Linked DNA regions of Nothobranchius furzeri. The protein of the gene in region 1 interacts with the protein of each later gene in a biochemical or structural test. Links are inferred from orthologs where the notes say so. Each region holds a gene or a part of one and is shown in the gene's direction. Other genes may lie near its edges.

Region 1 (4,000 bases):
TTAGCACATAAGTCAGCCAGCTAAGATGCTTCACATACCTTTTTCCGTCGCCAAAGAGGTGTCCTGTGTGCTGGTTCAGTTGGGTCCAGAAGCTTGAATGCGGTCTTCAGGGGCCGTAGGACCTTTTGGCACCTCAGCTTAGGTCAACGGCATCTGTGGTATGTAGAAGGAGGTGCTCTCCCGTAGTGGCTTGACTCAAGGTTCCTTCACTTTAGCGGCCTCGAAACGTGGAATTCAGATCGCGGGCCCAAATTATCCCAAACGGAGCCGAATCATCAAACTGTTCCAAATTGCTTTTACTCTTAATGTGAGAACTCGACCGAACACGCAGACTTCTGGTTTCACGTAGGAAGTCAAAACAAAACAAACTGAGCTGCTTCAAAGTTTTACCGTAACTTTTGAGAGCTAATTACTTGACAACTGTAAAGCGCCGGGTCCTGCTAGGCCAGATGGAAACAGCCCGCAGGGATTTGTGCTTAAGGCATCCTTTTCTTATTTCTCCTACCACCGCGAACGAGGTCTGAACTCTGGTTTTATAAACTTCTTGGTCACACCCACATGTATTTCACTCATTAACCACTTGATGGCACTGTGGCTCTTTCAAATAACCCAGTCTTCCAACCATGAGAGATTCATGCTCACAATTTTAACAAAGTAATTCCAAATAAAGCATCAAAAAGTATGACTTTAAACAGAAAAGAACTAACTTCAGGTCTTAAGCTTGACTGTATCACTTTTAGAATGGTTTTGAACTGGTGAAACACAATGGCAGAAGTTAACATGAAAGAAAAAAACACAAGCAGTTTAGGTTTGTAAATGATAAAAGTTTAAACATTTACTTGGAACACCTTGAATTTTAATGGTGAACAACCTAAAACACCTTTTGATTATGGATAAACTGAAAAATACCAGGGTTTTCATAAAGACTAAATCCTGGAATCTTCCAGAATGACCCTTGAGAAGTTTGACAAGCATCCCGGCCTTGGGGAGAGTCAGTTCTTGGCAGGTTGAGGTAAGACAGACCAAGTCCTGATAATGTCCGGCTTCTTGATTGCTTAAGGAGGGAAAAGAAGTGGTAAAATTTACGTTCCTGGGACAAAATGTAGGAGTTAGCCAGATGTTCGAAAATCGGAATTTATACGATTGTAGGCCAGTTTCAAATTCCCCCTTTTTTCTGCTAATTGTGAAAGAAACTTTTGAGTGAAAATGTTATTGTTCTTCTCCGTGTGAGTCCAAACAAAGTTAACCCGAGGATATAAAGTGTGGATTTCCGCTACAAATGTATAAACTGAACGCCAAGAGAAATCACTAGACTGATTTTTTTCCGTGAATAAAATAAATATGTCAGGCAGGAGCGTCTCAGAATCTGTCTGAGATCTGTCTCGGTGAGACAGATAATAGCAATCCAAAGTGATTTTTATGTGTGATCTGACAATTGATCAACCATTGCTTAAAATTAAATACAGCTTAGCCGGTTAATTGCTGTGATCATAAACCACGTAAACGGCAGCACGCAGAAGCACGAGACAACATTTTACGTGATGTTTACTTGTTGCTATGAGTAATAAGACAGAAAAAGCCACGCCAAAATAAGTTTAGGAAGCCCACTAAGAATCATAATAAAAGCATTTAAAATAAATACCATACACAGTTGAGGAAACGTTGGTTTAAGTACCTGATATGAAGTGGTCGCTGCATAAGCGAAAACCTTTACTATCGGGATCCCACAGCTTCATTTCAGCCCGGTCACTAGCGCGTTTTATTAGGATGATCCAATGTTTGCGGCGTTCCGGATCTTGGGGAATCCTGTAGAAGGCTCTTCCCTTGTTTCGTCCGCGTCTGTTCTGGCATCCTGAGTTTTCTTACAATAATAAATAGCCTAGATGCGGTCTACTGCCTGCCAAGATGGTGCCGTTTCAATTTGAACTGTTGCATGCTGGGAGAAGTGACGTCAACTCCCAGAGCTCTATAGACAGCTGATAGAGAAACGGACCTGTCTTCAGATCAGGTCCGGTAGGACCAGGACCTGACCCATAGTGGATCATCTTGTAGCTTCTGCACGTCTTCAGCACGCTTCCTCCTCTTCTTCACTATTCTGCCTTCACAGTCCCTCTGGGAAACCCCAGCCTCAGTCATGATACCTACAGAAAGGGGTCAGAACCGGAATCGCATGGCCCAGTTCTGATCCAGCTTGGTTCTTAGATTACAGTTTTGTTTATCTTTAGTATCAGAACTCCTGATTCTGTCAGAACCGACACCATCAGAACCCCCTCATCTCCTCCTGTTTGTGTTTACCCCATCACCTCCTCCTCCTCCTCAGCAGTCCATCAATGACAAGCGTAAAAAGAACCTCTTTGCCCGAAAGTTTCCGTTCTACAAGAGCAAAGAGTCGAGCGAGCAGGAGACCAGCGACGTCGACCGTAAGTACTGGACAGCCGATTGGTCGGTGGCAGGAAGAGAGATCAGCTGGTAGCGGCGTGATGCTAGGCGGTCGTCACGGCGATGGGGCAGGCGGTGATGCAGCCATCATCACATACGATAAATGAGAAAATGATAAGACTACAACTGATCTGGAACCTGAACAGGAAGCTCCTCTTATCTCTTCCTGTTTGGAGCCAACATGGCCGCCCTGACGCCGTGACAGCCACCTCCTCTGCTCTCTCCGTCTGTCACTGGAACCCAGTAACTTCTTGTTTCTGTGGTTTTTCTTTCTGCTGCTGCTTATTGCAGGACAACAACGATGACATGATGCCCAAAAGTCACAGTGAGTAAACAACAACAAGTAAACAGCAGCACCCCCACAAGGATCCTCTCAGATCAGAAACCAGACAAAGGCTTTGATTTGGATTTCACAGAATTTTACTCATTGTTCTTGTTTTAATGAAGTAGAAATAGTTTTATCTGCGGTTGCTATGAAAACCAGAAAAGTTGCTACAGATGCAGGAAAGTGAAAAACTGTTGTTCTGCTTTTATTTTATTTTATTATAACTTTTATGTTTTTATAGGAAACTTTTAGTTTTTGTTCCTTTCTAAGGAGACGGGCCGGATCCTGATAGATTCTGAGAACCCCACCCACCCCTCCTCACTTCAGAACCTTCAGAACCCGTCCACTTGTTTGGTCTCGGCGTGTTTTCATGTAGAGCTGAACGATTATCGTTTTATCGATTTGAAACGACGAGATCATCAAAGCTGGGTTTTTTCTAGCGCTCCTGGCTGGTCCGGGATCTGTTGTGTCAACTTTTATAGACATCCGGGTTTTTTCCTGTTACGAGAGCAGCAGTGTGTGCGTGCGTGTGTGTGTGTGTGTGTGTGTGTGTGTGTGTGTGTGTGTGTGTGTGTGTGTGTGTGTTCAGAGATGAGCACATCGTGACAAAGCTGGATATTTTGGTTATATTCCCATTTTGTTTTCCTTACACGGTGCTGCTAGAGCTGGCAAAAATGGCTGTCTCTCAGCCCCGAGGCAGGCGAGCGGGTGAGGGAGAGAGCAGCATTCACCAAAACGACACTAGAGGCTGATTTAGACTTCTTCGTCAGCTCCGGTGTGGAGTCGTGCACTTAAGTGGACGTGAATCCTTCTTTTAAACGGTTTGAGGTTTTCTGAAGGCACACCAGTTTGGTGTTGGAGCGGCATTTCAGTGGGAAAAACCAATCAGACGAGACATCTAGGCAGCCTGCCTTGGTGAAGACTCTGTGCATTTTTGTTATTAAATATATGTGAAAGCTATTTTTCCTTCAGTTGGCATTAATGTTACTTCTGTAGCACTCATCACAGAGCCCACTCAATCATAATCCTAAAAATAACTAAATATAGTCATGAAGTTATAAAATGATCATTAATGTCATAAAATAAATGAAAGATTATATAAATTCTAGTTGTAAAAGAAGAAAAACAGTAGATTTAGGTTAAAGCAGATTTAAATGACAGGGTCTCTAAAGGTCACCAGGCTGTCAGAACTCCGTACGGATAAGACGCTCCAAAGTCTGGGAGCAACAGCCTGGA
Region 2 (4,795 bases), on another chromosome or scaffold:
AAGCAACTGTTGCCAGTTACAGCCAGATTATCATTGCAGCCCCCCCCCCCCCCCCACACACACACACCACCCGGCCTCCCCCAACATTGCTGCCACCCAGAAGCACTTTTTAGACATTTCATAACATTGTTAATATTAAAACTCGCTTACTTATGTTGATACAAGGGTTAAATATCTTGTCTCCTGTCTTCTTCCTCCTCTTGTCTCCTGTTTCCTTCCTCCTCTTGTCTCCTTCCTCCTCTTGTCTCCTGTCTCCTTCCTCCTCTTGTCTCCTGTCTCCTTCCTCCTCTTGTCTCCTGTTTCCTTCCTCCTCTGGTCTTCTGTCTCCTTCCTTCTCTTGTCTCCTGTTTCCTTCCTTTTCTTGTCTCCTGTTTCCTATCTCCTCTTGTCTCCTGTCTCCTTCCTCCTCTTGTCTCATGTCTCCTTACTCTTGTCTCCCGTTTCTTTCCTCGTCTTGTCTTCTGTCTCCTTCCTCCCCTTGTCTCCTGTTTCCTTCCTCCCCTTGTCTCCTTTTTCCTTCCTCCTCTTGTCTCCTGTCTCCTTCCTCCTCTTGTCTCCTGTTTCCTTCCTCGTCTTGTCTCCTGTTTCCTTCCTCGTCTTGTTTCCTGTTTCCTTCCTCGTCTTGTCTCCCTTCTCCTTCCTCGTCTTGTCTCCCGTCTCCTTCCTCCTCTTGTCTCCTGTCTCCTTCCTCCTCTTGTCTCCTGTCTCCTTCCTCCTCTTGTCTCATGCCTCCTTCCTTCTCTTGTCTCCTGTCTCCTTCCTCCTCTTGTCTCATGCCTCCTTCCTTCTCTTGTCTTATGTCTCCTTCCTCCTCTTGTCTCATGCCTCCTTCCTTCTCTTGTCTTCTGTCTCCTTCCTCCTCTTGTCTCTTGTCTCCTGTTTCCTTCCTCCTCTTGTCTCCTGTTTCCTTCCTCCTCTTGTCTCCTGCTTCCTTCCTCATCTTATCTCCTGTCTCCTTCCTCCTCTTGACTCCTGGCTCCTTCCTCTTTTTGTTTCCTTGTTGGTCTCCTCTCGCCTTCAGAAAAACTGCTTTCTGGCCTTTATATTAGTAAATTAATTTACAATGTCATCAAAGTCCAGATTCCTGACAAGCTGAGATTCAATTGCCATCAGTGATGGTGCATTGAGGCGCTGTTGAGTTTGTGTTGTTCTCAGTTCATTTTTTATTCTTGCCATTTGTGAAAATCATTCCCCTTCACAATTTGTAACTGGTGGCAGGCATGTTGCAAGCTTTTCAAAAGTGTGGGGGATGTTGTCTGTGCCTAAAATAATTTTATGTTATTCATCTTGTTAGTTTAATTTCCATAATAGCTGAGCAGGTGTGAATTTTAGACGCGTCACGCATGTCTCCGTTTTAAACATGTTTAAACTGTTCAGAATACAAATCCGGGCTCTGTCTCATTAGATTGGTGCAACTAAAGTTTGTACTCAATGAAATTTTTACATTCAACCATGGTGAAAAGGTAAGAAAAAGATCCGATTAAATCGTTTTCCCCCCTCATTTACAGTCACGGAGTACAGCGCAGTGCGCATGGCTCTGGGGTTAATCAAGTTTAATAGTTTCTCTTTGAAAAAATCTTCACAAGAAGGCAAAACTGTTAAATGGCAGGTTACAGATATTTCCATTTGACTGTTTATTTTGACGGATAAACTCAAAAATGTTGGTTGTTATGAAAGAATTACCTCAATGCACACTGATGCGCACACAGATGAGCTGACATTTTAATCGTTACGCACATCTCGGGGGTAACTAAATAAATCAAGAAAAGATTCTCATCAGAACTTCAGTGCTTTACACTGGACACTGCTCAGCGCGGCTGGGAGCGAACACGGACAATGAGCTGAAGATCTGTAGAGGGGTTTGTAGTGCAGCGCAGAACCACAGTGATGCGGTAAGATTTCCTTCCACTGAAGCGGTCTGGAAATGCTGTCTCTCTGAGGGATGTGTCACCTGGAAAAATGTTCTCTGATTATGAAATTTTGGCTGAATAGCGCTTGTTCCCGTCTCCAATATGGGCACGCATGACACATCCAGTCTGTCTGAGGCAGAATAACCTCTTCAGCTCAGAAAGCACCTGTTGAGACATTTGATCATGCACAAAGTTTATGTGGAGCAGAAGCAGTCGGGCCACGGCAGGTGAAATGTTCCTAGCCTACATGAAGTGAAACTGTTTAGTTGTAACATTAATATGTTACTGGACACACTGGTCTGGTTGGTTAGACCAGTGTTTGAAGTGGAAAACACACACACACCAATTAAAATAATGGTGATAGCGTGGACTAGAAGCCAGGTGATGGTTTATGTATTTAAATGATGATCAGACTGCTGTAAAATGTAATCTGTTGCAACAAACAGACACCAGAAGTGAGGAACAGAAAATTAAATGACCCTTTCAATGTTTAGAGCAGCAGGAACTCTGAGAGGCTGCAGGCGCATCAGTGAGTTTGCGGCCGCTGTGCAGGGGGAGAGTGCTGAAGCAGGAACAGTTAAGATGCAAAAACTACCGTTGTTAAAATAAATTGTGTTAACTTAGAAAATGTGGGCGCAATTTTCATTACTTGTCAACATTTTTCTCCAACGTTAAGACTGCTGCACAAGAAAAAAAAAAGACTGCTGCTTGCGTGGGCCCTTTGTAGCTGTGGGCCCCTGGGCCTGTGCCCAGTTTGCCCATAATCCGGCCTTGCAGATCAGCACTAGAAGATTCTAGATGAGCAGAGACTAGTCATACACATTGGCTTGATAAGTAGATAAAAACATTTCACTATAACATTGAGTTGCTGGTAAGTTGTTGCTGGAATTGCTGGGAAAAAGTTGCTTGAGTAGCCAGCAATTTTTTTCTAGTTCACTGTTAGCATTGTTAGCTCAATGTTAGCCTCTAGCCTACTTCACCCGATAATAGAGTAAAACAATAAGAATACCATGCCTTTGTAGGTTTACAAAAAATAGCTTCTGGGCCCCTCCTTTGATTGGCCAACGTTCTTTCCACAATGCTGCCGCCTTTTCCTGGCTGGTGTCAAATTACAGATGCTAAAACTGGCTCTCGGAGCAGGAAGTATGGAGGCGGGACAGAAGGTAAAAAAAAATATAAAGGCTACATTTCTCTTCAGCTCTTGTTAGAAAAACTGGCAACCACCAGTCGATGAGAAGGACATCTATTTCAATGTAACCTTCCTTCCAACTGGATAGAGTCATTAGAAGGTTAAGTGGTTATTTCACCATAAACTTCTTACTTATTGCACCTTTAAACAACCAAAACCAGTTGACATAACTTGGTTAAGGGACTTTCACATTTAAATTCATATGTGTAATATCACACCAGGACCATCAGTTCTTTATTTTTAGTTTCTGAGTCAACTGTCAAATAATTTCCAAGATAAGTTATTAAAATTTGATGTCATCTCGATGATATATGTAGCTACTGAATGAAATTACTTTAAAACACCAAGAACAGCCCTTTATATCTTGTGGCCTGTCTGCGCTTGGCTATAAATGGCTGGCGGCCAGCTCCAGGCAGCCCCTCTGCTCGAAGGTTTATCTTCTTTGGAACATAATTTGTTTCATTGTAGCAGTGGCTTTATTAAATGCCCACATTATGACCGTAGGGCTGCGGACTGATTGGTAAGTGCAAGCAACCAGATAAGGAAAGAGAGGCAGAGCTTGTGCACAATGTGTGTGAGGGAAGAGCGTGTGTGGGCGTTTGTTAGATAGAGAGAAAGTCTGTGCAGTGGATTGGGGTCATGTTGCTCCTGAGAGTCAAATAAATTAACAAGAACCTTCAGGAAATTAACATAGGGATGTGTGCGTGCCCACATGCATGCACTTGCATGATGCATCATGTCTGTTTCAGTGTCTCTGTCGGTCCCATCGGGCTCCATAATTAACAGACATGCTGTGCCAATGGAGGTCAAGGTCATGGCTGTTATTAGTACCAGACAAGAGCATCATTCTGTCCTCTGATGGAGGCCAGTGAGCTTGTACTACCGCTGCAAGCTCCATTAACTGCCCTTGGAGCCATTTTTTGTCCTCATGTATGCTCACATCAGGCATCATGTCCCCATGGCCTGTTGACCATGACGTTTAACTATCATCACATTCAGCTGGATTTTTATTTAATTAAATTTTCTGTGAGATACAAGCATTATTTCATAAGGAATATTTGTCCAATCATTCCACATAACTTATTTTTAATTGTTTTTAAATGAAATTTCATTAAATGGCCAGTTTTGCTTATGACCCCTGTCATATACTGTAAAATCTGATTAGTTCACCTTACTTGGAAAAATCAGAGACCGTTAATAAAAGAAGTACATGGAAGTATGTTTTGGAGCTACAACTAAGACAAATTATACATAGAACTTGGAAAAAATGCTTACTGAACATGTATTTCTGAGTTGTATAAGCAGTGGTAAACAGGAGGCAAATGTACCTTTGGCATATAGCATTTAAGCACATTTCATTTTGTATTAGTAGCTGCAACACATATCTAGATAGACTACTTGTTTTTTTTAGTTGTATTATTGGTAATAAAAACAAACTCCAGAAAACACTTAAACTAAAATATAATAGCCCTTGTAGCGGGATAATTTTTTAACTCATGTTTTACCTGCGAAACGGTGACATAATTCTAAATGTGCCATTTAAAAATTCTTGGAATTTTTTTAAGCCAAATATTTTCCAATCCATCTTCTGTTGTATTTGTGCATCGTGGAATGAGCAGCTTAGCTAAACATGCGAGTGCCTCCAAAAAGGGGGCAAAGCATCCTTCAATATTCTCCTCTTGGTATTCACTTGTTT
Region 3 (4,443 bases), on another chromosome or scaffold:
AGAAAAGTTTCCTATATAAGGAACCCAGCAAATAGCATCATTACAGCAATCTTCATATCATACACCTTCCTCATACACCAGGGAACTAATGGACCATGGGTTGTTATGATCAATACCCCCCCCCCCCCCCCCCCCAACACGCACACACACCTTTTAGGAAGTGACCTCTATCATCTTGCTGTTTCAGCACATCATAGAGAGGATATTCACACCTCGGAGAGAGAATGGGCTCTGGCTGGGCGTTAATTAGACCTCTGCTTTGTTCCATCCTGGCCAGTGACCCCTGGTCTGATTCCTCAGCTTTAGTTTGCTGGAGCTGCTGAGTGTACACTGGTAGGGCTAGGATTATCTTCCTAGTCCACCTCATCTAACATCAAAATCCCTTTAAACTTTATTTGGACATATAAGTGTCAATGAGTTCTTGTTGCTTTAGACAGAACGTTTCTCCTGTTGATCAGTTTGTACCTTTTCTTGATTTTTTTTCTTCAACATTCTTCTGTTTGTAAAAATGTAAAATTTGTAGGAAAGAAGACGCAGCTTCCTGTCAGGTGTTGTGTAGAAAACCAGACCCTATCAGGGGAAGCTTGGTTGAGCACCGACGGGATGGAAGAGTTGTGTTAAAAGGTCAGATGATGCTGAATCTGGAGGCAGTTTTGCTAAGCAAAGCTGTGTGTGTGTGTGTGTGTGTGTGTGTGTGTGTGTGTGTGTGTGTGTGTGTGTGTGTGTGTGTGTGTGTGTGTGTGTGTGTGTGTGTGTGTGTGTGTGTGTGTGTGTGTGTGTGTGTGTGTGTGATTAGGCTAACCGGTGAATGATCATGTAAAAACATCTGATTCATTAGATCTGATGATGACAGGTAGTTATCTGCAGGTTGGCGGTGACAGACTGTAGGTAGGGGGGAAGGAGGTGTTGTGTTACAGGAAGCAGCAGAAGCCAACAGGGAGAATGTTGAATTATTGATCAACAGAAAAGTCAAGCTTACGTATTTCCCTCTGAGAGGCTGAGAGCTGCAGTCACCTGAGATTTCCCACAAGGCCACGGTCACCTGGTTTCCAAGGAAATGCAGCAACGGTCCTCCTGATTCGCTTATATAAGAGTCAACGCTGTGGGAGAAGGCCTAATCCAGCTGTTTGAAGTCATTAAATTAAGCATCTGTCTTTGCTGCGAGCAAACCTGTTTTTGCTATAAAACACAAACAATTCAGTTTATTGATATAGTGCCAAGTCACAACAAGAATCTTCTCCAGACACTGTAAAAAAGTAAACATTCCTGTTGAAACTACCTTTCACTGCAATGAGCAACACACCTGTCTTTTCTGTAAACACACCACTTTTTGGTGTAAACATGCCTACCTGTGCTGTGTTACATTTTTCCGGAAGATGTACTTCCGGTAAAAACGTTTTATTTTGAAGGAAGCTCACTTCCGGCGCCGCAGTGTTACCAGTGTTTACCTTGACGCAGCGCGGATAGTCCGTCAGTCGGCATGACAACGAGCTCTCGAGGGCAAACGAAGAACAGCTGACGAGGATGCGCGCGAGGATGTCAGCAGAAGATGCCCAGTAACGGAAATAGCGGAAGCGTCGGGACCCGCTCCGGTAACGGGAGTGGGAGCGGCTCGGTCCATGTCCCAGCCATGGAGAGAGCCCGGCCGGCCACGGTGAAGGTGTCCGCGGTGAGCCTCGCGCTCAGCTCGCTGTCCTTACTGCTGCTGGTCACCGCCATCTTCACCGACCACTGGTATGAGACCGACACCCGCAGACACAAACAGAACTGCGACGTTTCCGACTCCAACGACCAGAAGAACCGCGAGATGCCCATCTACCACCTGCCGCTGGTGGACACCGGCAGCGGCGGAGCCCGGCAGCGGGATGTGGCGCTGATGAAGCCCGTGCATGTGGGCAGCAGAGAGGAGGAGCTGCTGGAGAACTGGCGGGCCATCCTGGGGATGGGCATCCTGGAGACGGAGTGCGGCAGGCCGCTGTTCCCCAAACACTTCGGCCTGTGGAGGGAGTGCTTCTTCAAAGACCTGGACCCGGACATCGACAGGCTCATCGACCGGGGTCAGCGCACACACACACACGCACGCACGCACACGCACACACACTTTGACAGATGTTTATATCCATTTCACACAATTTTCTACAGCACAAGTGTGAGTGCGCGCACACACTCCTGCAGTGACAGCACCTGCTGACATCACACCAGAGGGTGAAAACATCCCAATGCTGTAATTCTGCAGTAAACGTCACCGTGAAGCATTCTGGGAAACGGTGTCCAGCTGCTGTCGTCTTTTCAGATCCCTCCGCCGCTGCTCAGGTGTGAAACACTTCCTGTTGTTGAGGAGAGTTAAGGTTGGTGGTGTCAGCGGTTCTGTCACCATACTGAGCTAGGTCTGTTTGTTGGCTGGCTGTTTAGCTGGTACTTATTGGTTAGATGGTACTGGTGGTTGGTTGGTACTAATCAGTTGGTAGTCGTTGGTTAGTTGGTCTTGGTTGGTACTGGTTGGTGGTTGGTTAGTTGGTAATGGTTGGTACTGGTTGGTGGTTGGTTAGTTGGTACTGGTTGGTGGTTGGTTAGTTGGTATTGGTTGGTACTGGTTGGTGGTTGGTTAGTTGGTCTTGGTTGGTGGTTGGTTAGTTGGTATTGGTTGGTACTGGTTGGTGGTTGGTTAGTTGGTCTTGGTTGGTACTGGTTGGTGGTTGGTTAGTTGGTCTTGGTTGGTACTGGTTGGTGGTTGGTTGGTTGGTTGGTACTGGTTGGTGGTTGGTTAGTTGGTAATGGTTGGTACTGGTTGGTGGTTGGTTAGTTGGTACTGGTTGGTGGTTGGTTAGTTGGTATTGGTTGGTACTGGTTGGTGGTTGGTTAGTTGGTCTTGGTTGGTGGTTGGTTAGTTGGTATTGGTTGGTACTGGTTGGTTAGTTGGTCTTGGTTGGTGGTTGGTTAGTTGGTATTGGTTGGTACTGGTTGGTTAGTTGGTCTTGGTTGGTGGTTGGTTAGTTGGTATTGGTTGGTACTGGTTGGTTAGTTGGTCTTGGTTGGTGGTTGGTTAGTTGGTATTGGTTGGTACTGGTTGGTGGTTGGTTAGTTGGTCTTGGTTGGTGGTTGGTTAGTTGGTATTGGTTGGTACTGGTTGGTGGTTGGTTAGTTGGTCTTGGTTAGTGGTTGGTTAGTTGGTATTGGTTGGTACTGGTTGGTGGTTGGTTAGTTGGTCTTGGTTGGTGGTTGGTTAGTTGGTATTGGTTGGTACTGGTTGGTGGTTGGTTAGTTGGTCTTGGTTGGTGGTTGGTTAGTTGGTCTTGGTTGGTGGTTGGTTAGTTGGTATTGGTTGGTACTGGTTGGTTAGTTGGTCTTGGTTGGTGGTTGGTTAGTTGGTATTGGTTGGTACTGGTTGGTGGTTGGTTAGTTGGTATTGGTTGGTACTGGTTGGTTAGTTGGTCTTGGTTGGTGGTCGGTTAGTTGGTATTGGTTGGTACTGGTTGGTTAGTTGGTCTTGGTTGGTGGTTGGTTAGTTGGTATTGGTTGGTACTGGTTGGTTAGTTGGTCTTGGTTGGTGGTTGGTTAGTTGGTATTGGTTGGTACTGGTTGGTGGTTGGTTAGTTGGTATTGGTTGGTACTGGTTGGTGGTTGGTTAGTTGGTCTTGGTTGGTGGTTGGTTAGTTGGTATTGGTTGGTACTGGTTGGTGGTTGGTTAGTTGGTCTTGGTTGGGACTGGTTGGTGGTTGGTTAGTTGGTACTGGTTGGTGGTTGGTTGTACTAATTGGTTGCCATTTGTATTGGTTGGTTGGTGCTGGATGATTATCTCCCTCTCTGATTTCCAGTCTTGAGGTTTTTCGTTGAAGAACATGTTTTTGTTGTATGTGGTCAGCCATATCTGTGATTTCTACAGGTTTATAATATTTATAGTAATTGATGCTTTATTCGTCCTCATAGGGAAATGGTGTCTCTGCGTTGGGCACATCCCTGAGGAGCAGTGACTTGTACGCCACCGAGTGCAAGGTCACACATGGCCTGCTTGGGGTCTGGGATTGAACTGTGCACCTTCCAATCGTTGCCCTGTCCACTTGAGCCACCATCTGGAATTCACAGACTGGTTTCTGTTGCATGAACCCGTTTCTGATCTGAGACCAGCAGGCTGAGCTCCATAGAGCCTCTCAGAGAAACTGGGTGAAGAAACCGTTGGCCAGCATTTCCAGCAGCCTGAGAGTCCAAACGATCTGACCTCTGGGCTGCTGTTGGCACATCAGATTATAGCTTTCTAAATCACATTATGCTCCATCATGTTTCATCTGATTAGCTTGCATTAGGCTGGACCCAGATCAGAATAGAGCTGCTCATGTTTGGTCTGAGGACAAGCAGCAGCAACAAACAGCTGCTGTCTGGGATGTTTGTTTGGTTTTCTCTGCTGATCCATGGCAATGATTGGTCCTCTGGTTGCTCACCTGTTTT
Region 4 (4,000 bases), on another chromosome or scaffold:
TTTGTCCATCCATGTCTCCCAATACCCTGTTTATCGAATGAAAAAAAGAGGGTCTTCTTTATTGGGGGCATAGATGTTACACAATATTAGCTTTACTCCCTCTACCAAAGCTTGGACACATACCATTCTTCCTTCTGTATCTTTAACTTCTTTAATCAATGAAAATCAAATACTTCTTTTAATAAGTATAACTACCCCATTGCGAGCACTCGAATAGGAACTATGAAAAATATGATTTACCCCACCACCTTGGAACCTCAGTTCTTCACCGTCCTTTAAGTGGGTTTCTTGAAGAAAAATTATATCAGCTTGTATTGACTTTAAATAAGATAGTAATTTACGCATTTTGGTTGTATTTCTACACCCATTAATATTCCAAGATATACATTTTACATATTTCCCTGTCATTTCCAATTGTAAGTTCCAATAGGATTTAAACCCGCAACCATGCTAGACAAAATAAACCTTTCCTCTCCTGAAGAAAAGACCCACTGTATGGGTGCACACAGCCAAAAACATAACAAATAAAAAAAAACATTCCCATGAACAGGGCCTAAACAAAAACCTTATCGGGTCCGTAGGATGCTGCTCTGCTTCTCCCCTCCTAAGATGACAGATGATGAGATCTGCCCTCTCCAACAGTCAGACACCAGATGTCTCAGGCTCCTCGAGATTACGTCATCAATCAGTCGAATTTGGGGTCTCCCCTCCTTGCACCCTCTTCTCCTGCTCATCCTCGTTGCTGAAAAACTTTTCAGCTGCCTTTGCCAGTTGAAGCTTACATTCCCCCCCCCCCCCCCCCCCCCCCATCCACTTTACACGTAGTGTTGCCGGGAACGCCAGGGTATATTTGACATTGCGCTCCTGAAGCCTTCGTTTCACAGCGTTAAAAGCCTTCCTTTTTCCCCCCTTAATTTGCATTTTGTACAATCGAAATTGATACTATGTTCTCTGTATTTGACCCATCCTCTGGGGGAGCGGTGAACTGCAGACATGGCTTCAATTGGGAACCATTTGGTGGTTTAATCGAACCAATCGTTACTTTAATGCCAAAACCAATCATGTTTTAAATAAATCTAAATATTTAATCATAGGTGTTGACTTGAACTTGAATTGACTGAACCTAAGCTCATTTTTTTCTTACAGGAACTTCAACTCAGACTACCTGTCATGTGACTGTGGGCTGCGTTGGGTGCCGACCTTCTTTCGCAGCAGCACGGCGCGGTTAGGAGATGAAACGCTGTGTGCCTATCCCAGTAGCCTGAGGGGAATGCCCCTTCGTGCGCTGAAGGAGAGCCAGCTGAGCTGTGGTGAGGACCTTGGCTGCAGGGAGACACATGAATGAGGCGGTTTGCCACTTTATTTCAGAGAGAATTACCCAGTGAATGACAGTCGCACTGTAATGAAGCTTGAGTCCATTCTGGACGTCCTGTCTCAGCAGGGACATGTTAACTAAATGTGTGAGAACTCTGTGTTGACAGCTAGCCCCATGGGTTTTATTGACAAATTGTTGCAGTCTGCATCCAATATGCTTCTGTGGAAGCATTTACCAAAAGTTCAATGGTTTAAAACAATTTACAGTGAAATGTGACAGCCATATCTGGGACTATTCCCACCGTGTTCCTCAGAAGGTCCACCGGAGCTGCACACCATGTCCCTGCTGCCATCCCAGCGTCAGGTGGTCTTCAGAGGAGACCGGCTGCCCTTTCACTGCACTGCTGCCCTTGTGGACAAGATCACCAGCTTACACTGGCGCCACAACGATCAAGAGGTGACATCCAACCCAGACAAGGGTGTCCAGCTGGAGAATAATGTGGTGCATGACTGTACCTTTATCACCAGGTACAGAAAATAAAATCTGGTTCAGCTTTGACTTTCTTTTTCATGTTCTTCTCACATGTGCTTTGTGTTTATTCCTGAGTACATTGTTCTAATTTAGCATTTGGGGATAATGTGTTATGATGACCTAACATGTCTTCATTCAGTGAGCTGATACTATTCAACGTCCATGTGGAGGCCAGTGGGGAGTGGGAGTGTGTGGTCACCACTGGGCGGGGCAACACCTCCCGCACTGTTGAAATAGTAGTGCTGGAGAACAGCGACACCTTCTGTCCTGAAGACAAAATCATCAACAACCGTGGAGAGTTCAGGTTTGGCATAGTAACATCAAACTGTACGAGTGGCTTCGAATGAATTTAGTATTTCACTGGGTGTTTATTTTGGTTCCACAGGTGGCCGAGAACGGTGGCAGGCATCACCTCTCATCAGTACTGCCTGCAGCCGCATCGCCCCTCCCTGACAGTCGAGGGGGAGCGGGAGCAGAAAAGAGCGTCTCGGTATTGTGACCGCTCTGGAAAGTGGCAAGAGGGCGACTACTCAGAGTGTCACTACACCAACAGCATCACTCGTGTTCTGCACACTTTCATCCTGGTCAGTACCACAGAACAAAGGTCTTTTTGAGAATTCCAACAATAAAACATTAATCTTCATAAAAAGTCACTTGGCTTTACATTTCAGAGGCCGATCAACGTGTCCAACGTTGTGACTGTGGCCCATCAAGTGCAGACCTACACCCTGGAGGCTGCGGGTTTCACCGACTCTGTGGATGTGCTGTACGTGGCGCAGATTATGGAAAAGTTTATGGAATATGTCAAACAGCTGAGAGAGGTGAGAAATATTTAATATCAAATAAAACAAAAGTGTGTTTAAAGATTCCATTCTAATGGTGTGAACTTGTGTGTGCTTGCTCCAGCTGTCGGAGATAATGGTTGAGATGGGGAGCAACCTGATGCAGGTGGATGATCAGATCCTCGCTCTTGCCCAGAGGGAAAAGAGAACGTGTAGCTCCATCATCTACTCTCTGGAGACTTTGGCCTGGCCTCAGCTGCACACTCACGCTCAGGACTTCTCTGTGGTAATCTGAATTTTTATTAAGTATTTGTGTGTATTTCATTACAGCTCACACGGTGTAATTGATTGCAATGTTTGGAAATGTTGTTGATTTCATATTAGGAGACATGCATGAATCAAAACGCAAAATCCAATGCAATTTTACATCTTTCTGGCATCATTAATTTGAAAAACATGAGTGTCTGGACTTATTTCATATGATCAATGTATTAAATGATTTCGACAGGTGTCTAAGAACATTGTGATGGAGGCCCACCTAGTTCGAACAGCTCATTTCACCGGCATGACCTGCACTGCGTACCATCGTCGTAAAACGTCTCTAAATCGGCCTGGAGTGGAGCTGACAGACCCCACCAGTGAACAACAGCTTCATTTCCGCTGCAGCACTGGCTCCCATAACACCTCCCTCAATAATTTCCCCCTGAAGGTGAGGGTGCTACATACTGCTTCCTTAACAGCACGTTTGATCTATTTAGTCTAATATTAGGATTGGAAAGTAGATTTCAGAGCCAAATATTAAAGATTTGTATCCGTTTTACTGTTTTATGCAGAACTCCGTAGCTCTGGCTTCTGTGACTCTTCCAGCCACTCTATTTCCACCTGATGCTGCGGCTGATTGTAAACTGCAGTTTGTAGCTTTCCGAACAGGAAGCCTTTTCCCTCTGTTACTAAACTCAAGCAACAAGGTTGAACACTCCAGCAGAAGATGTGTGAACTCTCCCGTCATCTTTGCTGGCCTTAGTAAGAAATGATATATTTTTAATTTTTGTTTTGCACATTTGGGAATCGTCTCCTAAAGTAAGTGTTGGCAGTCATATGTCCTTTTAAAAAATGCAGTTTCATCTTTTCTCCCAAACTGTGACAGATGGTTGTAACATGTGGAACTACTCTGAGCCGATCTGGGTGTCCCTGCGTCACTTGTCTCCCGGTTCAGATGCAGTGGCAGCTCAGTGGATGCCGAGGGGACCTGAGAGTCAGGGAAGCTGGAGCCAGGAGGGCTGTCAGCTTGTCCACAGTGACAGAAGCACCTCAACAATACGCTGCTCCGTCCTCAGCAACTACGCGGTGCTTCAGGTGGGGGAGGAGATTT
Region 5 (4,552 bases), about 27 Mb from region 1:
TTCCTGCTGCTCCGTGCACGATAACAGCATGATCAGGATAATTCATCAGGTAAGCATCGTGTAATTCACCTGTAGAAATATTCCGTTGTTTTTACAAACTAATTTTGGCAGCTGTGGTTGCCAGAATAATTCTGTAAAAAATACTTTAAACATGTAAACTGTTTTACTGAACATACAGTAAATTACAATGTTGTTTACTTGTTAAATTTACATACTGCCTCATTATTTTATGCACGTTTTTAGTGTGATTTTATAAGGGATATTTTGTTAAAATAATGATTTTTTTACTGTATTTAGGTCACTGCCGCTCTTGCACTAGCTGAGCCTAGATTTTAACATGTACTGTTTAACCATGAAATTTAAATGTAGGGTAAGACCCAGTGCATTTAACATAACGCTGCGTTTTTGAAAATGTGTTGAGATATGACATGTTTGTGGAGCTGGGTTCCGACTATCGGTATGGTCCCCTCCCCTCAGCGGCAGCTCGGCGCATCTCTGATCGCAGCGGCGCCTGTCCAAATAATATCCAAAAAGGAACGCACAAATGCTTCAACTAATGGTCTAAGTTGAGAGACTGAAAATGGCGGAACAGTTTTCAGGCGAGGCCGAGGCTCAGGCTGAGGCCTTTCCCCAGCGCTAGCGCTGCAGTCACGTGGGCCTGATGCTCATTAATTATTCAGAATTTTAGGCATTTAATACACTTAAACAGAAGAGTGACAAAATTCTGCCCCCTCAGAGTTGTCATGAGTGTAAACTAGATCATTTAAACCTAAAACAAGTTTTGGAACCAGGCTGTGAACATGTTTATTTCTGCTGTGAATTTGGTACTTTTAACATGGGAGTTAATGAGGATTTGCTCGCTTCTGACACCAGCCCCTAGTGGATGAGGGTAGAACTGCAATTTTTTTCACTTCCGTGTTGGCTTCAGTTTCAGACCCGAATTATGGGGGCTTGTGTCAGACCAGCGGAAGGGGCACAACGCAGTTTAAAGTACTATTGCCATAGTAACGTCCACCATTGACAAGAACAGTGGTGGTCGGACAAAATGAAAATTAAAATACTTTTATTTAGAAACTTTTAGAAAATGTAGTGGAGTAAAAAGTACTGATAACTGCTTTAGTGGAGTAAAAGTTTAAAGTAGGCCTTTTTTATTCGATTGAATAATTTTTTCATACTAACACAGGAAAAAGGGAAAAAGGATCATAAACCTATCTCAGCTTAACCCCCCCCCCCCCCCCCCCTCCCATTGAAAATCACATACATCGGGACCAAAGCCTCGACTTAAGAGGTGCTCAATGTTGTTCTAAGCTTTGCTGCCATGGAGCAAACACTAACCAGCTGTTGCACGCCTGTGGCACTAACAGTTCTCCATATATAAGTAATAATCTCCATCACCAGTGGGTGTCGCTGCTGACGCTGGTACCCAAGCGGTCTGCCAGTCTGTCTGGCACGGATGGGGAGGATGTTTTATTGTGAGCAATGAGAGAGAGAGAGAGAGAGAGAGAGAGAGAGAGAGAGAGAGAGAGAGAGAGAGAGAGAGAGAGAGAGAGAGAGAGAGAGAGAGAGAGGGAGGGCGCGGAAGGGAGGGGAAGCACCTCTGCCGCTCTCCTTGCCTCCTGTGCGCAGTGCTCCGGCCCAGCCGCTCCTACCTTCCCACATCATTTCCTCCCCACAGCTGGCGTCTCCCCTCTGTCTGATGCAGGCTTTCTTCTCACTAACCGAGCTGGAGCAAAGACTTCGGAGGGGTGGAATGACCGTCTGCCTGCTCTGCATGGTCTGAATCTCGGGAAATTCGCACGTCGAGAGTCAAGTGGGAAGAAAGGAGACTCTCCATCCCCGAGGGATTTTATTTTACAGTAAGCAGGCGCAATGTCATTCCTACCGCTTCCTCTTCTCGCTAGAGCCCGTCTCTGCACCTCTCATCTGTTCAAAATGCTTGACGGGAAAATTGTTGGAATGTGACAGCCTGCTGGGAATATGGCCGGATGTAGTACATGAGTGGATGAGTGCGCCAGATGTGTTTTTAACAGATTTATTTAGCGCCAGTTTACTAAAACGTGTGGTGTGAATGGTGTCTTTGTAATTCTCGTGAAGCGCTGATGGGATTTTGCGCGCTTGCGTTGATTCTGCACTGAGAACGGGATCCCCCCCCCATTTCATCTCAGCTGGCTGTGCATCAATCCATCCGAGGCCGGAGTGTGTGGGGGTCGCAGCGATGAGCGGGGGTTTGCTGTGGAAACGCTTTTACTTTCTGATTGACCCAAATTTGAGCGATATTCGGGAGATTATCGCGCGTGACAGCGGCCCAACGTGCTCTGGCTGCGCGTCTTTGTGCCTTTGCAGAGAGACGCTTGGACCTTGTAGCCTATTTTTTGTTTCCCTCTGCCGTCATGAAAGCATGTGCACGTTTATGAAGTGCACCTTGCTGCATGAGCTCCAGCTCCGTGGTGATCACTAAAAAGACTGTTTCTGATCAGTAGCAAGCTGTTTCTCCTCTTCACCCTGGAGTAATCTCACTCATCACGCAGCCAACGCCGGGTTTCTGTTTTAGCAGAGATCCTCAGAACGTTTGCTCCTTGGAGCTGTCTTAGATTGTTTTAACTGTCCTCTTTGTGCTTGAGACACGCCCTTCAGAAGCATGCAGGTTACTCTAGCCATGCTCAGCTCCATGCTCTTATTTCATTAATCTCTTGGGTTTTTAGTGTTGTTAAACATTTGACATGCCCAGTAAAGATGTCTCATCCGCTATATGTCCGTTATGCTAAGGGAAACATGGCCGAGTTTGGCGGTTTATTAAATGATTTAGACCAAAAGGTGCATAGCAGGCAGGTGATAGTCCAGAAAGGTGCAAGGATGAAAAAAATACCTAACAATTAAAAGTGACAGGGTGATAAAGACGAGGATCTGGTAGTGGACGTGCAGATGAGTGAGTGCAGGTGAAGGATGACAGATATGAGTAAGAGGTACAGGTACAGATGAGCTGAGGAGAAACAATATGAGCCCTTTTGACATGTTTTATTGAATGTAGACAGTGTGTTAAATCAAAAATCAGCATGCGGAAATTTACGTGACAAAACTATGAATGTATAAGAAGTTATACAGTAATGATTATATTCAACAGAATTATAATAGTTTCTTATATTGTACAGCTCTAAATGAGAGAGTAGAGAAAGTCTACTGTGGCTGCATCCCATTTAGAGGTTCTGCTCATTAGTATTCGAACAACCAAAGTGTGCAGCCACATGTTTGGAATGCTGCCCTTGTTAGTACATGTGTGCTTCTCCTCGTCTTGCCAGTGAAAATGGGTCCGCTGAAAAGTGAACACACATTAAAGGCCGTGGTAGTTTTGCTCATTCATGCATGAATTATGACAGAGGTCAAGGGTGGACCCCCCCCCCCCTCCTCCACACACACACACACACACACACACACACACACACACACGGGCTGCACGGTGGCGCAGTGGTTAGCACTGTTGCCTGGCAGCACGAAGGTTGCAGGTTCGAAACTCGGCTCAACTGCGGCCTTTCTGCGTGGAGTTGCGTGTTCTCCCCATGCATGCGTGGGTTTCCTCCGGATACTCCGGTTTCCCCCACAGATCACAACATGCCCTATAGGTTATAAATTGTAAGTCGCTTTGGATAAAAGCGTCTCCTAAATGAATATACATAAACACACACACACACACACCCTCTCCACCCCAACCATCCTTATTCATCTTTAGGTGCAAAACACATACGTTTAAACTGAATTTGAACTTTGTTTCCTTCAAAACTTTTTTTCAAATATCCACTCAAACATGCATTTAGATTTGTGAAAAATCGACAAATTATTGACTCAGCTGCCCTGGGGCGCACTGACAGGGGCGAGGCCACCGGCCACTCCCTTTCCAACCACCATCGGCAGACAAGGGGGGTGTAGGGTCTTGCCCAAAGACACAACCTAGCCATGAGCGGGGCTCGAGCCTTCAACCTTAGGATTACTGGGTAGGCACGCAACTCTTCTGCCACCATCGCCCCATAATTATCTTAATTAAATGATAAAAATGCCATTGAAACTTAATTCACAGACATAATTAGCAGCCAATAAAGTGATGCACTAGAATCAAAGTGGTGGCTTAATTGCAAGTATCCCGACAGCTTCTGTCTGACCATAGTGCATGAAAGGGTTAAACATCAGGGGATCTGCTTTTGAGTGTTTTGTGAATTTCAATCAGTCAAGTCACTTTCATGAAACAAGGTTAGAAGATGTTTGAATTAGCAAGTTTCAGCATGATGCCCTGTTTATAATCTAGTTAAAAGCTTTTTTAGCAAGCTTTTGGTGCTGCTAAAGTAGGCTAGCGGTCCATGCCAGCTGCGTTGCACGGTTTATTCTAGCAGGTGAGTATGCAACTGGTGAAGAGCTCTGGGCTGAAGTGTGAAAATCCCCTGAATGTAAATGGAGTTCAACAAAATATCTGTAAAAAACGTTTAAAACTAATTATTTTGTAATGATTACTTTAAAGAAAACACATTTTAGGTATAAATGTGGAACACAAAAAATTCCACAAAAT
Region 6 (4,000 bases), on another chromosome or scaffold:
AGCATGTAGCGACAGTGGAGAGGAAAACTCCCTTTTAACAGGAAGAAACCTCCAGAGGATCCTGACTCAGGCCTAGTCCACACCTAGCTGGGTTTTTTTAAAAACGAATATCCGCCTCTCCAAAAACTTGCATCCACACCACCTCGTTTAAAAACAAACTCTGTCCACACGTACCCGGATAAATACGTTGTTAAGGACATGCCAGACCTGTAGGCGGCAGTACTTCCCCCGTTCTTAACCTTGTCCTTCGTCTGTGGTCTTCCGCAAGGAGCAGTAATTCCGCTTGCAAAAACAAACAAGCAAAAAGCGCTTGGACAATTGATAAAGCGAGCGCAGCTCTGAGGGCATCCATGCTGTCAGCTAGTGTAAACACAGGTCGCACACGTGATGTCAGCATTTTTTTGTCGCGGAAAGTGACGTTGCGGACCTTAAAACTCCGGTTTTGTCTGTCCACACGCAGACACCCAAAACGGAGAAAACGCAGATCTTCACTTTGGCCGGAGTTTTTAAAAAGATCCGTTTTTGTGTGAAAAAACTCCGTTTTTGTGTGGATGACAGGCCAAAACGTAGAAAAATATCTACGTTTTGGCAGATCCCCGGCTACGTGTGGACAGGGCCTCAGTATAAGCAGCCATCCACCACGACTCACTGGGGATGGAGAAGACAGAGCACACACACACACACACACACACACACACACACACACACACACACACACACACACACACACACACACACACACACACACACACACTTAACAAATATACCCCAGCTTCATATAAGAAAACCTAATTGGACCAGTGTTTGGGCCATGTGGGATGGGATTGGACGTGTTATGAAGCAACAACCATATTTTCACATCTGGTGGTTCTCTAGTCAATCATCCACCTTCACTAGGGTGGACAAACAGCTTCTTGGAACTTCTTGTTAGCGTTTTGATAACGTTACAAACTTTTAAGTTCATTCTGATTTCTTCTTCTTAGGATGACAATTGGGGCGAGACCACCACAGCCGTCACGGGCACATCAGAGCACAGCCTCTCTCAGGAGGACATTGTACGCATCACCAAGGACCTTGAGGACAGCGTGGGGCTGAACTGTCGCCTGTATCTCACCAGGACCATCGCTGTGATCCTGGGCCTGCTGGTGTTCCTCACGCCGCTGGCCTTCCTGGTGCTGCCACACATCCTGTGGCCAGAGAAGCTGCAGAGCTGCGGGACGGCCTGCGAGGGCCTTTACATCTCTGTGGCCTTCAAGCTGCTCATCCTACTGCTGGCCGTCTGGGCGCTCTTCTTCAGACCGGCGCGGGCGGGACTCCCACGTGTCTTTGTGTTCCGGGTCCTGCTCGCAGTGCTGGTGTTACTCTTTGTTGTGTCCTACTGGCTCTTCTACAGTGTCCGGATACTCGACGCTAAGGTTTGTGAGGAGAATTAATGCCAGGCGTGAAATACGAGAGCTATAACTGTAAGCCCGGAGAGTAACTAAAAATAAAAACAAATCCACACACACACACACACACACACACACACAGACGAGGGATTTTAGAGACTAGAGTGAGAGGTCTTGAGCGCTGCAGACATGTTTATTTTCAATGCCTTGAGCAGCTAAGCTAAGTGAAAAACACAGCCGAAGCACAGTTTCTGGCTGCCCCAGTGATGTGTGTGTTAAGTGTGTGAGTTATCATTTAAAATCCCTCTTGATGCTTCTTTCACCATGTTTGAGAAAAACAGACCAACTAAAGGTCTAAAAGGCTTCCGTCTTTAAAATCTGCCCTCATATCTAAAAGCTCCGGATCTAGTCTCACACGTTTAACCTCCCGGAGGGCTCGTCACGAGGATTCTGCGATTTAAACACATTCTTACAGTCAATAAGGTCAAAAGATTTGATTGTTTTGTTGAAATGTTTTTGTTTGTGCAGGATGAGAACTACCAGGGCATCGTTCAGTACGCCGTGTCCCTGGTGGACGCGCTGCTCTTCATCCACTACCTGGCCGTTGTCCTACTGGAGCTCCGGCAGCTCCAGCCGTGCTTCTCCGTGTGCGTCACGCGCTCCACGGACGGCACGACGAGGCACTACAATCTGGGACAGCTCAGGTGAAGATAAAAAACAAAAATCTTTTTTGTTTTGTAAAAGGTTTCAGGTTTTTTTTTTTTTTTTGTTCATGTTGGAAGAAATAGGAGAATATCCAAATTCAGGGTATCCGCGGGTCCTTAAAAAGTCGTAAAAAGTCTTAAATTTGCTTTTCCAAATTTAAGGCCTTAAAAATCTTTAAAACTGACAAATAATCCTTAAATACAGTTTCCAAAGGTCTTAAATTACCAAAGACCCAATAAACAAGATTCTTTTATTTCTAAAAAAAATTTGTGAATTTCTAGTGTTCAGCATTTTTTGTGTACGATGTTGGCGTAAGCGGAACCGTACACATTCAGTGAAAGGGGACTATTTTTAGAAGAGCACATTAGCTGATTAAGCTAGGGGGAGCTTGCGCCATGGGAAAGTGCAAGTTTAATGGTAACTGGATGGCTAATCCCACGTTCGCGACGTTCCAGGCAATAGCTGGAAATCATAGCTTAAATTTAATTTTAAAAAACAGCTTAAATTTGGTCAAAGTGGCCTTAAAAAGGTCTTAAAAAGTCTTAAATTTGGCTCCCTTAAACCTGCAGATACCCTGAAATTGTTGCGCTCTGTTATTAAATTTTACCAACTATTCTATTAAACTGTTAAATCCACGAATATTCATATAATGTTTTTGTCAGTCTGTCAGTACCGTGGCCCAGAAGGTTCAATGAAACACAAAAGCCACAATGCTGAGACCAACAACAGAAGTGATAATAGTACAAAGTTCAGAGGAAACAAAATTAATATAGATTTGTAGTCAGTCAGAACTTGTGCTAATATGAAAGTTATGCTACTAGCTTAGTTACATCGACATTATGAGTAAATAAGGGAGCTGGTCACTGGACTCACTACATACGTGTAAAAGCCTATGGTTCAGAATGAAGAAGAAGAAAGTATCATTTCTATAGCGCCTCTCAAGATAAAAATCACGAGGCGCTTCACAAAAACAAAAAATGTAAAAAGATAAAAAAGCATTTAGAAAATGTTTAAAAATATATTTAAAATGAGCAAAAATAGACAATTGTGATTTAAAAAATGTAAAGAAAGAGAGAGAGTGAACAGGAAAGAGGGAAATCAGTGGATCCTGAGGAAGGTGGAATAGGTGGGGAGAGCAGAATAAAGAGAGAGAGGTGAAGAAGGTCATACAAAAGCCAGCTTGAACAAGTGAGTCTTCAGCTGCTTTTTGAAGGAGACCACTGAGTCCACTGATCTCAGGCTCAGGGGGAGAGAGTTCCAGAGTCTGGGGGCCACAGCAGCAAATGATCTGTCACCTTTGGTCTTTAGCCTGGTGCTGCACAACCAGTAGGCTTTGATCACTGGACCTCAGGGACCTGCTGGGGGTGTAGGGACTAAGAAGATCACCAATGTAAGATGGTGCTTGTCCATGTAAGGCCCTATAGACCAGAACCAGGATCTTGAAATGAACCCTGAAGTTGACAGGCAGCCAGTGAAGCTGGAGGAGAAGCGGGGTGATGTGGGTGTGTTTGGAGGACTTGGTCAGAAGCCGAGCACAGGCATTCTGAACCACCTGTAGACGGTTCAGGGAGGTTCTGCTCAGACACGTGAAAAGAGAGTTACAGTAGTCTAAGTGTGAGGAGATGAAGGTGTGGAGAACTGTCTCAAGTTCAGAGCGGGACAGAATGGGACTCAGCTTAGCAACGTTCCTGAGATGGAAGAAGGAAGAGCGAACAAGAGAACTGACATGAGAATCCAGGGTGAGAGCTGGGTCAAAGGTCACGCCAAGATTCCTGACAGAAGGTTTGGTGTGAGAAGCAAGCTGACCAAGAGAGTCTCTGACTTTGAGAACCAGCTTGTCTGGGGCACAGATGAGGATCTCAGTCTTATCTTCATTCAGCTGAAGAAAACTCCCAGCCATCCAGGTT
Region 7 (4,782 bases), on another chromosome or scaffold:
ACGTGTCATATTTTGGCAATCTTGAAATTATTCAAAAAGTACTTGACAGACTCAGAGATGGTTTGACTCAAACTAGGGAACTTGTGCCATAATTGCGACAGGTTTTCACAGAAATGTTTATAATATGTTAAATAAAGATGATTAAAAGTCAGATTCAAGGGGAAATTTAAGAGCTGTGAAAACCCACTTATATGGAAAACATTAATCTAGATACCTCTGGATCAAAAGAGGAAATAGTGAGCATATTTCACTAGTGAGATAGAGACAGGCTTAAATTAATTGCAGCGATGTGCAAAATTTATGAGTCATCAAGTGTTTTCTAAAGGTTTTGGACAGATTTGCATGAGCACAGCCAAACGCAAACGTGATTAATTTCTGAAATCCCGAGAGGCAAATGTGTTTTCCTCCAGACTCGATGGAGGAACTCAGTTTGGAACTGCTTTTGTCTTGAACTACAGGTGAGTGTGATTTTTTTTTTCTAGGCCAACACAGCAGAGGAACAAAGTCAGCATTTATTTCATTTCCTGCATGATCACTGGTCATGCTTTGATTTTTAGTTCCAAGAGCTTAAACGTGAAAGATAATGTCAAAAGTATTTTGTTGATACCTTTAACTGGAGAGCAGATGCTTCACGTTTGCACTGCTCAGCAATACGTCCGTCGTGTGCTGCAGTCCACATGTGAAAACCACAATCAGAAGTAGATTTATGGCACATAAATCCTGGATGATCCTGAACTTTAAGTGTTCACATTTTATGACCATAAAAGGAGAGTTTATGTTTTTAACCAATAATCTGTGTTTTACCAACAGTAGATGTTGGCACAGCCGTAGAAATCGGTTGTCCCACAGCAAATTCTCTGTTTTCTAATCAGTAACGGACCCACTCTATTTTATAAAGTGCTCCAAAACATGTGGCAGTGGTGCTCACCAGCATGATCTGATTTAACTTCTAGGTGAAACAGGAACTGGGAGAATAATAGAATGTCCCACTCTTCCCTTCCATGTCCATTTGTCATCAGACCACATTCCTGTTTCTCTTCTAGCGAGGAGATTGAGCTGCACAGCTCTGTGCGATGTGGGAAAAATAGGAATTAAGTTTGGGATCATGAGAGTCAAGGTCGAGGTCTCGACTTTTCTTCTTTCGACAAAAGCTTGAAGTTGGTGAAACAAATTTTAACATGCTTCATGTTCCACTCACGTTTCTCAAGTCTTAGTAAAAGTGAGCTTTAAATCATTATTTGTTTGAAGGTAAAAGCTGCATAAATAGTTTTTAATACATAAATTAATGTATATATCGTGAAACAATGCACCATAGAAAACAACTAAACTGAATCGTAGAAACCGCCACAAAAAGATTGAAAAAACCTAGAGGTGTTTATAGATTTAACATAAAAAAAAGTAAAAAACACGTCTGATTTCAGATGAAGAACTTAGCTCATATATCTGAGACAAATCGGTAGATAAATAATTATGTAGTGATAAAAATGCATGTTGTAAACAAACTTTGAGAAGGTACACTTGTTCAGAACCCTATTTCATTGACATGAGCACCCTCTAGCGGTGCACAGCGGCATTACAATAACTGCATTAGAGAGTGGTTTTGTCATTTTAAAAGCGCACTTTTTAGAGAGCAGCAGTTTGTCCCTCTTCAGCTTCCGTGTCTGCCTTAGTACTAGTTTGAATGTTCAGCGCGGTTTCTTTGTTGAAGGAGATTATTTTTAGATCAGACAGCAACAAAAACTCGGGTAAGGTTACGTTTATCAAATTAAAGTTGATTCTCATTGGACTGACATGAAATCCTGTAAGGTGCTAAAAGATTAACGCGGTATTAACAGCGTTTACAGTTGGTTTTAGCCTTTTTTAACGTTAGGTTTGGCTTCCCCTCTGTCGTTTGCCTGGGTGGTTTCTGTTCAACAATATTACATAAGACTGAGTATAAAGCGTATTTCCCGTTGTTAAACATGCTTGTACTTTTCATTTACCTTGATTTAAAATGGTCCAAATCCTGCTACATTACAAAACAGAAACATTTCCTCAATAACACCTTTGCTAACGGGCCTTGTGCCAGCCTCCACTCAAAAGTTGTCATTTTATTTCCGTTCTTAATGGTAAACGGGCAATTAGACATTATAGATCGGCATTGTTCTATCAAATATATTAAACTTTCAATCGGCGCTATTTAAAAGCCCTCAAACTCGTTTTGCTATTATTGTACAGTTTAACATCTGATCAAAATAACGTATTTGCTAACTGTTATTTTTTCCGTAAGGTCCAATATTGTTCTTGAACGGAATGGCCTCCCATCCAGTCAACGAGGGCGCGTATAAAACCCCTAAAAGGGTCGGGTCAAAGGGCTCCAACAGCAGCAGCTGTGGTGACAGCACCCCTGTCACCATCCCCGCATCACCTTTCATGAAGAAGCTGGGCTGCGGGACTGGAGTCGACGTTTACCTCATGAACAGGTTTGATGTCAGGGGCTCACACAGCACCTCTTCCTGACATCAGGGTCTCTTCTAAACTTCAAACCACTGTTTCTCCATTCAGATGGATGATTAAGTGATTATTATATCTGAAAGTGAATCATTTCAGCTCCAGTAACAAATGTATGTTTTTATCTCTAGAGTGGGAAAGCTGAATGCATCGCCTTGGGCTGTGAAGAAGATCAACAGTAGATGTGCATCCAAACAGGCGGACGTTTATCAGAAACGTCTCAATGAGGAGGCGGAGGTCCTAAAGGGAATCGATCACCCAAACATTGTTGGTAAGCCAGCCTTAACATGCATGAGTGGTTTTTCTAATTCCCACAAGATGCTCACATCATCCTGGACACCAAAGATGTGTCATCATTGAATTTTCTCAACAATAAACAACCACTGTGCAGATTTAGCTCATTTAAAGAGCAAGTCACCCCCTACCAGATTCTTACTCAACTCCCACTTCCTGTTTGACAAATGCAACAAATGCTGTTGCCTAGCAGACCGAGAGGGCGGAGCCGCTATCAAATACACACACAGGCTCACAATGATATTGTGACATCATATGGTACCAGCTAACGTTCTAGGGTACCTCTTAGCCAATAGTGATGGCGGATTTAAATTCAAAAGTAGTGCAGAGTTTTTACCTGACTACGGCACAACACTGACAGTTTTAGGCAGAAAACTGACTACACGTGTCTGCAGCACTATTAGACACACATTTATATAGTTTATCAGGGGGGAAAAGTTGATTTGGGGGTGACTTGCTCTTTAAACATACCGTTGAAGTCTGGAGGCTGTATGAGATTGACCGTTTTCACAACTCTGTTTCACTCGCATTGTTAATTCTGTCTTTTTGAGGTTTTCGTGCCTTCACTACAGCCAAAGACGGCTCCAAATGCCTGGCGATGGAGTACGGAGGAGAGCAGTCCCTCAATGACCTGATCGAGAAGAGGAAGGAGGAAGGTCTGACCGCTTTCCCTGCCGCTGTTATAGAGAAGGTGGCTCTGCATGTGGCTCGTGGCCTGATGGTAATTAACTTTATTGTCAAAGCTTGGTGGAATGAAACATTATTCATTATCTTTCCTGTTTTAAAACAAAACTTTAAACATATTTGCTTTGCAGTATCTCCACAATGAGAAGAAGCTGCTGCATGGCGACATGAAGTCGTGCAATGTGGTCATCAGAGGAGACTTTGAGACGGTGAAGATCTGTGATGTTGGCGTTTCTCTGAAGTTAGATGAGAACATGATAGGTAAACGTTCACATTCAGCTCTTTACTGGCAACACAATATGTATTATTTCTACATGTTTCTGCTATGTTATGAATTGAATTACAGTATGGCTCCATCGCAGTAAATAGAGTGCTCTCTCTCTCTTCAGTGGCTGACCCAGAAGCAGAGTACATCGGCACAGAGCCATGGAATCCCAGAGAAGCAATATTAGGAGGAGAGATCACCGATAAGGCGGACATCTTTGCTTTCGGTCTGACTCTGTGGGAGATGATGACTCTGGCGATGCCTCATGTGGATTTGCTGGAGAATGATGAAGAGGAGGAAGAATATGAAGGTGAGAAGTTCTGTAGGAACATTTCAAGGTAGAATTTAGTAGCTGCTTCCTTTGACTGGAACATTACAGAAGAAAAGTGTTGTGTGGTGAAAGCTAACAAGTTTAACCATTGGGTTTATTTCAGAAGACTCAATGGAGGAGACATTTGATGATGAAGCCTACTATGAGCGTTTAGGAACACGACCGCCTCTGGACACGGAGGTTCTGGGCAGCCCGTACCGCAGGGTGGTGGAGCTCTTCTGCGTCTGCACATCAGAATGTCCTAAGATGAGACCATCGGCAGCTCAGATCGTCCAGGCTCTAGAGGACAACGCTCCTCTGGGCACGGCTGCGGAGGCGGCGATCGTTATCGACTGATTCACTCAACAAGCACATGTTTACATTTCAGTCTAAATCAGAAGTTCTCAGTTCATATTCCCCACATTTGTTTGTTCTGTAGATTGTTTTTGTCTGTCAGCTTTTCCTGTATTTGTATTCGTTTGTGTTTCTGTCAAACAGTAAATGTTACAATTCTAACAAGTTCGTCCCAATTTTTCCAACATTTCCAATGAATCAGGAGACAATCTGCAGTAATGAGTCAAAACCAACTGGTTTATTAAAATGTACAAAGCACAAATGCCCAACAACAAAGATGGCATCCATGCATCAACAGGTTTGTGCTTACCGGTTTCGACAAGATCCGGCTAAGATTGGTGTTTTTCTAACTGAAGTTTTGCTTTAACATGAGAAGTTTCCAGTG

Evidence for each region.
Region 2: the proteins of dlg1b (region 1) and gucy1a2 interact in a test that uses a peptide from one of them, tested with the Homo sapiens proteins (2 studies listed by IntAct, with this or other methods). The link is inferred for Nothobranchius furzeri from reciprocal best matches to the Homo sapiens genes DLG1 and GUCY1A2.
Region 3: the proteins of dlg1b (region 1) and tmem178a interact in a test that uses a peptide from one of them, tested with the Homo sapiens proteins (2 studies listed by IntAct, with this or other methods). The link is inferred for Nothobranchius furzeri from reciprocal best matches to the Homo sapiens genes DLG1 and TMEM178A.
Region 4: the proteins of dlg1b (region 1) and adgra2 form a complex in vitro, tested with the Homo sapiens proteins (2 studies listed by BioGRID and IntAct, with this or other methods). The link is inferred for Nothobranchius furzeri from reciprocal best matches to the Homo sapiens genes DLG1 and ADGRA2.
Region 5: the proteins of dlg1b (region 1) and ctnnd2b interact in a test that uses a peptide from one of them, tested with the Homo sapiens proteins (2 studies listed by IntAct, with this or other methods). The link is inferred for Nothobranchius furzeri from reciprocal best matches to the Homo sapiens genes DLG1 and CTNND2.
Region 6: the proteins of dlg1b (region 1) and vang-like protein 1 interact in a test that uses a peptide from one of them, tested with the Homo sapiens proteins (2 studies listed by IntAct, with this or other methods). The link is inferred for Nothobranchius furzeri from reciprocal best matches to the Homo sapiens genes DLG1 and VANGL1.
Region 7: the proteins of dlg1b (region 1) and pbk form a complex in vitro, tested with the Homo sapiens proteins (2 studies listed by BioGRID and IntAct, with this or other methods). The link is inferred for Nothobranchius furzeri from reciprocal best matches to the Homo sapiens genes DLG1 and PBK.

The regions. Positions count from the first base shown.
Region 1 is NC_091751.1:34,826,182-34,830,181, reverse strand, and holds part of dlg1b (disks large homolog 1), read left to right. Parts: intron 1-2,320; coding exon 2,321-2,420; intron 2,421-2,730; coding exon of another isoform or gene 2,731-2,764; intron 2,765-4,000. UniProt on the Homo sapiens protein: Essential multidomain scaffolding protein required for normal development. Recruits channels, receptors and signaling molecules to discrete plasma membrane domains in polarized cells.
Region 2 is NC_091753.1:35,473,981-35,478,775, reverse strand, and holds the start of gucy1a2 (guanylate cyclase soluble subunit alpha-2), read left to right. Parts: upstream 1-1,661; 5' UTR 1,662-4,795. UniProt on the Homo sapiens protein: Has guanylyl cyclase on binding to the beta-1 subunit. Isoform 2 acts as a negative regulator of guanylyl cyclase activity as it forms non-functional heterodimers with the beta subunits.
Region 3 is NC_091746.1:29,271,222-29,275,664, reverse strand, and holds the start of tmem178a (transmembrane protein 178A), read left to right. Parts: upstream 1-1,451; 5' UTR 1,452-1,549; coding exon 1,550-2,057; intron 2,058-4,443. UniProt on the Homo sapiens protein: Acts as a negative regulator of osteoclast differentiation in basal and inflammatory conditions by regulating TNFSF11-induced Ca (2+) fluxes, thereby controlling the induction of NFATC1.
Region 4 is NC_091757.1:39,980,996-39,984,995, forward strand, and holds part of adgra2 (adhesion G protein-coupled receptor A2), read left to right. Parts: intron 1-1,146; coding exon 1,147-1,310; intron 1,311-1,628; coding exon 1,629-1,842; intron 1,843-1,985; coding exon 1,986-2,150; intron 2,151-2,231; coding exon 2,232-2,430; intron 2,431-2,517; coding exon 2,518-2,667; intron 2,668-2,752; coding exon 2,753-2,914; intron 2,915-3,136; coding exon 3,137-3,337; intron 3,338-3,461; coding exon 3,462-3,651; intron 3,652-3,775; coding exon 3,776-3,984; intron 3,985-4,000.
Region 5 is NC_091751.1:61,421,846-61,426,397, reverse strand, and holds the start of ctnnd2b (catenin delta-2b), read left to right. Parts: upstream 1-1,566; 5' UTR 1,567-1,856; intron 1,857-4,552. UniProt on the Homo sapiens protein: Has a critical role in neuronal development, particularly in the formation and/or maintenance of dendritic spines and synapses. Involved in the regulation of Wnt signaling.
Region 6 is NC_091754.1:55,610,325-55,614,324, reverse strand, and holds part of vang-like protein 1, read left to right. Parts: intron 1-983; coding exon 984-1,415; intron 1,416-1,916; coding exon 1,917-2,092; intron 2,093-4,000.
Region 7 is NC_091742.1:11,217,557-11,222,338, forward strand, and holds pbk (lymphokine-activated killer T-cell-originated protein kinase homolog), read left to right. Parts: upstream 1-1,616; 5' UTR 1,617-1,681; coding exon 1,682-1,745; intron 1,746-2,269; coding exon 2,270-2,462; intron 2,463-2,621; coding exon 2,622-2,761; intron 2,762-3,335; coding exon 3,336-3,505; intron 3,506-3,599; coding exon 3,600-3,729; intron 3,730-3,857; coding exon 3,858-4,043; intron 4,044-4,167; coding exon 4,168-4,400; 3' UTR 4,401-4,562; downstream 4,563-4,782. UniProt on the Homo sapiens protein: Phosphorylates MAP kinase p38. Seems to be active only in mitosis. May also play a role in the activation of lymphoid cells.